Arabidopsis thaliana: one gene and its partner. The protein of the gene in region 2 interacts with the protein of the main gene of each other region in a pairwise test. Each region holds a gene or a part of one and is shown on either strand. Other genes may lie near its edges.

What was found.
Region 1: the proteins of AT1G79630 (region 2) and IOS1 interact in a protein complementation assay, tested with the Arabidopsis thaliana proteins (one large-scale study listed by BioGRID).

The regions. Positions count from the first base shown.
Region 1 is NC_003070.9:19,212,512-19,218,583, reverse strand, and holds IOS1 (Leucine-rich repeat protein kinase family protein), read right to left. Parts: upstream 4,513-6,072; 5' UTR 4,382-4,512; coding exon 4,300-4,381; intron 4,231-4,299; coding exon 4,077-4,230; intron 4,006-4,076; coding exon 3,625-4,005; intron 3,546-3,624; coding exon 3,067-3,545; intron 2,994-3,066; coding exon 2,852-2,993; intron 2,748-2,851; coding exon 2,676-2,747; intron 2,591-2,675; coding exon 2,519-2,590; intron 2,446-2,518; coding exon 2,365-2,445; intron 2,261-2,364; coding exon 1,837-2,260; intron 1,741-1,836; coding exon 1,614-1,740; intron 1,525-1,613; coding exon 1,269-1,524; intron 1,166-1,268; coding exon 751-1,165; 3' UTR 531-750; downstream 1-530.
Region 2 is NC_003070.9:29,962,099-29,967,465, reverse strand, and holds AT1G79630 (Protein phosphatase 2C family protein), read left to right. Parts: upstream 1-1,690; 5' UTR 1,691-1,796; coding exon of another isoform or gene 1,797-1,810; 5' UTR 1,811-2,296; coding exon 2,297-2,560; exon of another isoform or gene 2,561-2,790; coding exon of another isoform or gene 2,791-2,844; exon of another isoform or gene 2,845-3,017; coding exon 3,018-3,446; intron 3,447-3,532; coding exon 3,533-3,650; intron 3,651-3,737; coding exon 3,738-3,961; intron 3,962-4,055; coding exon 4,056-4,535; 3' UTR 4,536-4,817; downstream 4,818-5,367. Other genes in the region: AT1G79640 (Protein kinase superfamily protein), read left to right, coding at 39-87, 190-254, 345-406, 484-553; AT1G79620 (Leucine-rich repeat protein kinase family protein), read left to right, coding at 5,292-5,367.

The DNA of each region.
Region 1 (6,072 bases), about 11 Mb from region 2:
TAAATGGTGAACATTAAATCACATTTTTGTTTATTTTATAAAAAATCGTAATATTTATATTTATAATACTAAATAAGTAGACCGCCAATTTTGGTATTCTGCCAAATTAAAATTCTGAAATTCGTACAGATTTCCGATTTACTGTTGGAAATATCCGATATTTTTAAATGAACATATTTTCGTCGGACAATTTTATTACCAAGACCGAGTGAACATCTCCGCACAACCTAAAATCACTACAAAAAAAAAAAACAGTGCGGCTTTTCTACCGAATCTCGACAGACATCAATTTGGCAAAATTCTAATGATTTACCGACAAAAATATGTTCATTAAAAAAGAAAAACCTAGAAGTTACCTCATATAAAATTTGAAGAACCAACACTGTGGGGTTGGGCTAACTCATATATATACTTTCAAAATTTACATACCTTGTTCTTTTCACTGAAAGAGAAACCTAGTAACCTCATATAAACTTCTTTGGCTAACGTTTCATGAAGAAAAGTATTGTGCTACTATAAGAAATATTTGTCGTCATTTTCACCACATACATCTACCAACACTAAATTTCATTCAGATTATATAAAAAATAAAATTTTAAATAACAAAGAACTATAAAAAATAAAATTTTATATAACAAAGAACCGGAATAGAATACAAGTAACACTCACTCTGTTCATCACAAACAGAACAAAAGAAACGTGTGTACGAAGAAACTTCTAGCTTCAAACAAATTATACATAAGATTTGATTCATCTAGCTCCTGGATTAAGCTCTGTTGTGAAATTCATGGACAGCTCAATTGAAGAATCATTAGTTGAATCCGTCATACGGCTTCCCATGTTTCTTGCCATCTCCATGTTCAGACATTCTTTCAGATCCATTACGACTTGAGTCATTGTCGGTCTCCGTGAAGAAGACGGATTCAGGCAAGTCATTGCGGTCTCAACAACTTTCCATATCGTGTTTGGATCAAAGTCTCCTTGAAGCTTAGGATCTACAATGCTGTTAATGTCTCCTCTTGATAGCATCAAACCTACCCATTCAGCTATGTGTGATTTTTCTCTTTTCATGTCTATCACGGGTTGGTTTGTTACTAGCTCTAGTAGAACAACACCAAAGCTGAACACATCACTTTTCTCGGTCAACCAATTAGTTCTGTAGTATCTGGAAAATAAAAACAAGAGAAAAAGGAAAAGCCACAATGTTTAGAGTTAACACGAAAAAGAAAAATCAATAGTTGTTTTAAAGAAAAGTGTTTAAGGTTTACTCAGGATCAAGATATCCGGGAGTTCCAGCAACTATGGTTGAGACGTGAGTTTCAGTTCCAAGTGGAAAAGACCGTGAAAGCCCGAAATCCGCAAGCTTAGCTTGAAATTTCTCGTTTAATAAGATGTTAGTAGTCTTAATGTCGCGGTGAACTATTTGCGGTTTGCATCCATTGTGCAAATATTCCAATCCTTGCGCTGATTCCGCTGCTATACGAAGCCTTCCTTCCCAAGTTAGTATCGACGGTCCACGCTTCCCTGAAATCAAATTTTTGAAACAATATATATCAGAATCATAAAACTAAAAACCACAATGTTAAAACATTGATTTTGTATAAAAACCATACCTGATAAGTGCTCTTTCAAGTCACCATTCGCCATGAACTCATAGATTAGAGACATTTTATCTCCTTCTTCACAATATCCAACAAGACATGTGAGATCTTTGTGATGAACTCTAAGAAGCAACTCAACCTAAAAAGTAAACAAAACAAAAACAGATCCAAGACGCAATCAAAACACCATTTCTAATAATAGTTAAGAGAAACATTTGGTTCAATCTGTTATTACCTCGGCTTTAAACTGTTTGTAACCAAGTGCAGTGGACTCAGTGAGCATCTTTACCGCAACTGGTTCATTATTCAAGACGCCGTAATAAACCACACCAAAACCACCCCTACCAAGAACCCTCTCAAAGTTGTTTGTGATCTTAACAACATCAATGTAAGTCAATTTCCGGTTTTTCGCTATAACGGGAGGTTCAAAACCGTGGTGAGACCTCGAATGTAACGGTGTTGTACCAGTTCCTGAATTAGGATTCAAACCAAGCTTGGTTCTCTTCTTCCTCTTGAGGATAAGGAAAGTAACGATTCCAGCTCCAATGAGGAATACTGAAACAAGTGATGCTGCAACAGGTGCAATAACAGTGTTTTTCTTCTTCTTTTTCGTGGTAGCGCATGATGTAGATGAACAAAGCCCGGTATTTCCTTCGATACTAGAGTTTTCACATAGATTAAAATAAAATTTTGATTATTAGAAAACTCATAAGCATTTCATTCTTCTTTTGATATTTGTTTCCTCATAAGCACGGATTATTACCTTAACGTAATAGATCCTCGTCGTTCTTTATCAAGGAGAGTTGCAGGGATAGAGCCATTTAGCTCATTTCCAGATAGATTTCTATACAAAACAGAGTGAATATAGGTTAACGTTTGTTAACCTTTTGGTGTTAATAAAATGCGTTTGAGCTTACATGAGTTTTAAGGTTTCCATATTAGCTAGAAACTCTGGGACTGAACCAGTTAAAGAATTGTTAGACAAGTCACTGCAAGAAAATCAAATGTAACCCATCAAAACATACGACTTAAAGCAAAACTTTAATGCATTTTCTGAGCATGTTAACTACTTACAGAACTTCTAAACTGGTAAGGTCTGATATAAATTCTAAGATCTCTCCGGTCAAGCCACTTGTAGACAGATCCCTGTTTCCAAAAATCAAAAAACAATTAAAAACCTTTTGTGAAAATCATATGAAGAAGAACAAATCAAAACTCTGCTTTAAAAACAGAACAAACTCTATACTTACAAAGAAATGATCTTTGGGGTCTCATTGTCAACATAAGTGCAATTAACACCAGACCACTTGTAATCCAGCGGCACGCAAGGATCTCCTTCCCAGTCAATCTTGTTCACGCCGTAAGCCGACTTGATGTTCATCATTGCATCAACTGAAAACATATTTTCATTAGGTAAGTAAAAGTTTGGTTCTTAATCAACAATAAAGAAATAAGTTTTACCAACCTTCTTTTCTATCAGTTTCCTGTTGCGGCAACAAGTTAACCGAATAAATCTCCATAGCGTTGAGCAGAGGAGGTAAAGTCGAATTTCCTGTTCTTTGAAGCGAAAATATGTACTGCCCATTTGCATCGGCGACAACTTCGGTAGGTGTAAATACGGAAGACGTGGTGAAATTAAGTGGTCTAAAAGGTCCATAGATATGCTTGTTATTGTACATGATGTTGAACTCTCTTGTATCATTGGATTTGAGCTCTTGAATCTCTGCAAAATGCATAAAAACGTAGAACTGCACAGTACGTTCCACCCCGACTAGCGAAATGTTCATAGCTGCGTCCGGGTCTGTTGGAACAGAGGCTGTGACCATAGCAATCTCTGGTGGTTGATAGTCATTGTTTATATTCACTGACTGATTGGTACTAATCTGTGACCAGTTTCCGAAATTATACGGAGTCCAGACACGATCAAACACATCGATTCCGTACCTAAGACAAAGAAAAACAGAGTATATTTAGAAGCCTTTTCAGACTAACTTTTAACATTAGGGTTTTGAAACTTATAAACCTGTAGCCTTGGTTAACAGTCGCGCCAACGTCTGCTCTGATGAAGGTCTGCAAGGAACCTTGTCGAGTCAAGTAAGTTGTGTTCATGAGTTTACGAAGCTCTAAAGCGGAGATAAAAGGCGTTGCGTTTCCTGTCTTGACCAGACAGATTTGTAAACGATCAGTGGTCAAGATATGAATCATCTCAAAGATTGATGCTTCGGTCTCGTTCGTGGTTGTAACTGTAGACCAAAGATTAGGTCCGAGGTAGAGCTCGAATTGCGTTGAGGGTTTGTCGTCATAACCGCCGTGAAGGAAATTGGCTCTGATTAGATATTCGTCGCCTATGGTTAGGTTTAAGGTATAGCAGTTTCTTATGCCTTGTGGAAAACTCCGTAGGTTCCTTGTGGAAGAAGTAAAAGTGTTAGGTTTTAAGATAACATTCATTGATCTTGAGAAAGCTATTTATTATACCATGTTTGTTGCTGAAACTGAGTCCGGTATCCTTGTTTGATGCTTCCACCAACACCGGTATTGATGAAATTCGCATCGGAAATGTAAGTAATGTTTGTTGTTTTCTCACGAAAGCTAGTTTCTCTAGGCGAACCGCAATCCAAACTGATGAATCCTGAGAACAAAGCAAAGAAAAAGCTTTAGAAGAAACTTTTGAATCAATGAAGATGTTATATTTTTTTACCTGACTGATCTTGAGCAAGACAAAGAAGTAAAGCTGAGAAGATTTGCAGAAGAACTAAGAGAAAACAAGAAGAAAACGCCATTAATATTCGTCACTTTGGTTTTAATTGTTTCCTTGTTTTTGTGAGACTAGAAAGTGAAGAATCAAAAGAAGATATATGTGGTGTAATTAAAGAAATGAAAGATGGAATTGTTTTCTTTTTGTCTGAACCGCGTTAGTACTGGTTACTATTATGATGAGCTCAAAGTCAACCTTTTGGTAGAGGTGACCAATTGTGAATTTTTTTACGTTAAGAGGCGTTGACGTATAACAAAAATGCAGAATTTCTAAATTCGAGTTAGACAATGACATTACGGGGAAAATTTAGCTAATCTTAAAATTTCACCAATAATTTCGATTTTAAAATATTTAAACTATTGTTTTAACTAAATATTCATCTGGTTAAGTCATTGAAGAAGATTGTCTTTCTGCCAATAAGCTACACTTCATTGATCTGTAATAAATCTGACGAGGGTATGGAGCTTACTGAAAAATATATGTTGATTGTTCACCAGAAAAAAAGGCAAGAAAAACATTAGAAATATGTTTTGATTTAATGAAAGTTTATAAGTTATAACCATAATTCAGTTGAATTTTTTTACGAAAACTAAAACGAAACGAAACATTAAATTTTGAGAAGTCAGAAGGAAAGTGGTTGGTGACTTGGTGAGGAGCTAATAATACATGCACCAATAAAACAACTCTGATTATGGAGAGACGACCACGACTTCACTGAACCAAAAAAAAAAAAAAATGAGAGAAAAATATATGGTCAATATCAATTTGGCATCATTATTACAAGAATCATAGCCTAGTGGGGCGATATACATGCATCTTCTATATATTAATAGACATGTAACAATTGAAACAGTTTTTTAATTCGTAAATGTCTCATGTTAATTATTGATATTTAGTATAAAGCTGCTGTAAATTAATTTGTATTTATATTGAAAATATTACATAAATAGAAAATATTTCTTAATTTAAATAATTTCCTTTAGAGAACTCGAAAGTTATAATTTTGGTTGTAATTTATTTTCTTCTTTACTATATTATCATCATAAATATCCTAATCTAATCCTACTATATATAGTAGGATCAATCATTCGGATTTCAAACAATTCCACGATGTTCAGTTTTCTCAGCAAAACGTGATCTTTTACTGACGATTATTATATACATGTGTCATACCAACGATAAACAGTCTTATCTCTAGCATTTGTAACCACTCTCTAATGTAAAAACCTCTAAAACTTGAGTACCGATCAAAGAGGCTTCCACAATTGGTTGTTTATTATTGAAAATTAACTACAGTAAAAGATTCTCAAAATTCACCATTAAACGTATTATTGTCATGAGAATATTGTTGAAGAAAAAAAAAGTCATGAGAATATCAAAAATTCAAATATACGAACTTTAAAAATCGATTAATTTTTTATTTATTACGATATGTTTAACTACATATGTTATCTTCTTGTTAATTCTATAGTGAAATCTTTTTCAACATATACTAATGTATAAGTAATTAATTTAATTTATTTTTTTGGCAAAAAAGTAATTTTTATTTTGTTACGAACTGTTAAATCATGCGAAAAATCTATTTTCTAAAGAAGTTGGTATCTCTACATTTTCTGAGAAAATGATTTAAATCGATAAATTAATCAATTTTTAAAAATTTGTGGATTATTTTGTTCGAAAGAAAAAAAGATTTGGATCTTCTAAACCCTACTGATT
Region 2 (5,367 bases):
GAAAGTTCATTGCATAATTGAAATTGTCCCTTAAACAGGATAACATTTTGCATATGATGAAAGTACTCACCAACAGAGAGTTGACAGGTTTATTTCGTGCAACTTCACTCCTTTTCCATCTCAATTTTCCCTTTTGATTACATTTTTCCTTGCCACTGGATTGAAATTTCCTTTATTTCTTTGATGTAGATGGACGTGCAGTTGAACAAGGAAGTATACAACAACCTACTGTGCCCCCAACTGAGAAATCCATGGTATGCAATTGTTTGCAAGAAAAAAATGTATTGAATCACATTCCTTCAGACTTTTGAGCTTAATGGAACTGTTCTTCTGTTGAATCATAGCTTGAAGCAGCACACGAAAGAGAGAAAGAACTGCTCCATGACATAACCGACCTGCAATGGAGGTAACTATCGAAACCATCTCCTTGTATAGTTTAGATTAAAATCCATCATTCTCACTTGTTTTTGTGTGTGTTCATAGGCTCATTTGTGCAGAAGAAGAGCTTCAGAAATACAAAACCGAACACGCCCAAGTAAGTATGAGTAACTAAACACAATCGTTCTTATATGCAATCTTTTCAATTCCACTATATGTCAAAGATCAGTAAAACTCATCACTTGCCTGTTAAAATTCCAGGTTTGATTTCCTAAGAAGCCTGAGAAGATATGTGCTTAAGTAAAGAAGTTTGATTTCATCATCAACAATAAGTATTTTTAATAAGATAATACATCTAATGAAGGTAAGATTTGCTTTCAGATGTTTTGTCATTTGATTCATAAAATACATCACTCCCTAGTCCCTACTATCATTCTGTGTTATCTTTTTTTTTTTTTTTTTTAGTTTTTTAGGTTTGTTTAAGGAATATGTATTATGTACCATGGTAGCTATTTATAACCATGGTTACATAAGGATTTGTGTAATATTGATGATACAAAAAGCGTTATTGAGAAACATTTTCGTGAGATGGTGATTAAAAACATAGCATCTTGATAAACTAATGGGGTGTATGTGTTTTTGGATGCGTGTGAATGAATGCATCTCTCTCTCTCAACAAGTCAGTGGGACAACTAAAACTTGTCGTCGTGTCGCATTGGCCAGCACACAATCCGTGAATTCTATTACAGTCATAATTGCTTCTCTTTTAATGCTGCTCATATGTGTACATCTTTATTTATATTTTGTGTTATAGATTAGATGCTTATACCATATATATGAAGATGTGATTAACATAGGTTGTTCAATCTGTATAAATTAAAACGATTTAATTCATACCAAAATTGAAAACCCCAATTGGTTAGTAATTATGTACTTCCCAAAAGGCCAAATCAAGTAAACAACACATTAGATATTATCAACATTTATTTGATTTTAAAATTTGTTAAAGGTTAACACAAGTGGATACTTCAATTATATCATTTTTTGGAAGAAAGACAAAACGGAGTTATTATATTTTTTTCCAAAACTTGGCTGGCTTCAGAAATCAGAATTTAGGTTTAATAAAGGCAGAAAAGGACTTGTGGCTGATCAATTGTGAATACTTAACTAACCATTAATTAACAATCAAATTCGAACCATTACACACAGACAGACGACAACTTTGACACGTGGCAAAACGTAATTGGGTTATTTTCGGGTGAAATGGATGATACGATGCAGCCAAGAACCAAATTTTCCCACAATTATTATTGTTCAGAAAAGAAAAGAAAAAACACTCAAATGAAAGATCTCACGTGCGGAACCAAACTATGACCTTTGTCTGACCATTGCGTTTCTCTCTCTCTCTCAATTGTTCTATGAACTTTTTTTGGTAATTCTCTCTATCCAGAAGTGGAGTTAGTAGTAAACGTTGGTCTTTGTTGTGGGTCTGAAAGTATTAGCGTCGCTGTTTCCAAGTAATCCTAAATCAGTTCACAAGAATCTGATTTGAACAGATTGTGATGTTCTGTTTTCTTTCTCTTTTTTCCTTTTAATTCTCGCAATATGCAAAAGTATGAGTCTTTTTACCCGAGAAAATAGCAGTTTTCCCGAGAAAATAAACCAGAGGTCCCTAAAGCTAAAGCTAAAACTAAAAGCTAAAGTAGTGTGGATTTTCTAGATGCCAAGTTTCGTTTTTTGAGCCTTTTAAGCTCTTTTCTGGATTTCGTTTTTCTCGTTTCGCTCTATTCTTCGCCGAGCAAGTAATCATTGCCGACAACCCCCAGAAAAATCGTAGATTTCTTCAATCGGCGATTTAAAAAATTTGAACTTTTTCTTTAAAAGCTTTGAGCTCTTTTTTCTTCGGATTATTTTCAAAATGGGTCTGTGTTATTCAGTAGATAGGACTACTGGGAAGGAACCTGGAGAAGCAAGCTCCACCGCCACTACGGCGGAGACTGTGGAGGAGAGATCAGGCTCCGGAAGATGGCGGCGGCCGAGAGATTTAAAGGGTGGCGGCGATATCGAAGGGATTCCACAGGTTTTGGGTCGTTTGGTTTCGAATGGTTCAAGTAAGATTGCATGTCTTTACACACAGCAAGGCAAGAAAGGGACTAACCAAGACGCCATGCTCGTCTTTGAGGTTCGTTTCTTTTATCTTTCCAAAAATTCATCTTTTTTGCAACCCATTTGGATTTTATCAATACTCAAGAGGACAATTTCAGGGTATTTTGGTGGAGAAATGTTGTTCAATGTATGAGGAAGCTACTTGATTTGTTTGGATGTGTTTTGTTACAGATCAAATGGATCTTCAGAACATGATTGCATTAATCTTTTGTTGCTAGTGCTTAGTAAGAGAGAGAGAAACTTGGAATGATTCATCACTTTTCTGGGACCATTACAAAGCTTAGTGCTTTGAAGATTGAGGTGGCTTTGTTTTGCCATTTGTGTTGTTCTTGTGCTGTCTTGAGTCTTTGACCTGTTTCTACAGGGACCACTAGTTACTTGACACTTAGATTCTATTTCTGCTTACTTCCTTTTGTGTTACATTCACATATCAAGACAAGTTTCTAACTTATGAAAACTACTTCACTTTCCAGAACTTTTGTTCGAGAGACGATACAGTGTTTTGTGGTGTATTCGATGGACATGGACCATTTGGTCATATGGTTGCCAAGAAAGTCCGAGATACATTGCCCTTCACACTCTTAACCCAGTTGAAAATGACCTCAGAGTCAGATCAAAGCAGCTTAGTTGGTGCCAATGGTTTTCAGATCAAATGTACAGAGGAAGAAGAAGTGCAGACAACTGAGTCTGAACAAGTGCAGAAAACTGAGTCTGTTACTACTATGGATGAGCAATGGTGTGAGTTAAATCCAAATGTGAACAACGATGAACTTCCGGAGATGTATCTGCCTCTTAAACATGCGATGCTCAAGTCTTGTCAGCAGATAGATAAAGAGCTGAAAATGCATCCAACTATTGATTGCTTCTGCAGCGGAACAACTTCAGTCACTTTGATCAAGCAGGTTCTCAGCTTAGATCTGCTTGTAACCAAAAGACCATCATCGATTGTATATTAATTGCTGTAATTGTTCATAATGATTTCTTTTAGGGTGAGGATTTGGTGGTTGGAAATATTGGTGACTCGAGAGCCGTTCTTGCCACAAGAGACGAAGACAATGCTTTGCTCGCTGTACAATTAACTATAGACTTAAAACCGGATTTGCCAGGTACTTTATTACAAACCATGATATTAAACTCTGAGAGAAGCCAGAGGCAAAAGTTTCTCAACTTTCGCTTTCTATGTGTACTGTCAGGTGAATCAGCGAGAATCCAGAAATGTAAAGGAAGAGTCTTTGCATTGCAAGACGAGCCTGAGGTAGCTCGTGTATGGTTACCAAACAGTGATTCACCTGGTTTAGCAATGGCTCGAGCTTTTGGAGACTTTTGTCTCAAAGATTACGGATTAATCTCTGTTCCAGATATCAACTATCGCCGCCTAACGGAACGAGACCAATTCATTATTCTTGCTAGCGACGGGGTAAATTAAATCTTCAGTTACTAGCCACTAAATTGCAAACATTTTCCAAATCTTTAGAGCTGAAAAATGTTGTGTTTTCTGAATTGTATTAAAGGTATGGGATGTGTTGTCGAACAAAGAAGCTGTTGATATCGTTGCCTCAGCTCCTAGTAGAAGCACAGCGGCTCGAGCTCTAGTGGACACAGCGGTACGATCATGGAGAATCAAGTACCCAACTTCCAAGAACGATGACTGTACAGTAGTCTGTCTCTTTCTACAAGATTCATCAGTAGCCATGGAAGTCTCAACCAATGTAAAGAAGGATTCACCCAAAGAAGAGTCTATAGAGAGTGTCACTAACAGCACAAGCAAGGAGGAGGATGAGATTGTCCCCGTTAAAGACGAGAAAATCCCTGAGAGTTGCGGGATTGAGTCGAAAATGATGACAATGACACTTGCGGAATGTATCTCGGTTGCACAAGATGATGAAGAGTGGTCTGCTTTGGAAGGATTGACGAGGGTTAACAGTCTCTTGAGCATTCCAAGGTTTTTATCTGGTGAGCTCAGATCAACTAGTTGGAGAAAATGGTTGTGACTTTTTTTTGACTTAAGTGATTCTAAGTTAATGCCGACAAAAACACTTCATATCACGATGTTCCAACTTTTTTTCTTCTTCTCTTGGAAGTGATTTGCAGATATATAATCTTTCTTGTTTAAATTAGTCTTTCAGACATGTGAGAGATTGGTCATGTTAGCTGTAGATAAAGATCATAGTGAATTGGATCTTTTCTTGGATACTCTCTGTCTTTATATTTAATTAACTCTTATTACTACATGTTAGACACTTGGAAATTGAAGGAAGTGGCTTTTACGTTTTAATTATTTATTTTTGTTTTTGGAGATGGTTGGGTTTTTGGGAACTTTTTTTTTTATGGGTTCCACTATATTCTCTGTCTATTCTCAGCATAATGATCAAAGAAGGTTGCTTTGATTACAAAACAGAGCTTAACGGTAACCTAAGTTTACATCATTAATTTTGTAGTGGCTATTTGAAAGAAATTATTTTCTCCTTATTTGGAGATGTAACACTCAAGTGCTTTAATAACTAAAGTGCTTTGAAAAAAAGACACATGAACCGTTAAATTGACTTCGAAGAGAAGGAAAATTGATTGAAACCAACTTTTCTTGGTGTCACTCGTGTTCCTATTGGCACAATTCTCAGTACACATTTTTTTTGATGAGACAATTATGAATCTTGTCTCATAAGGAAGCTACTTTAATCTGTTTCTTCTTTCTCTATGATTTCACTTAAATATCAAACTTCAAGAACTCATGTCTCTTGAGGAACAATATGGTGGGTTCCAACACCGTAACCGCTACATCGCGGTTGCTCTTGATCTGTTTTGCTTACTCATTCACTGTCTTCT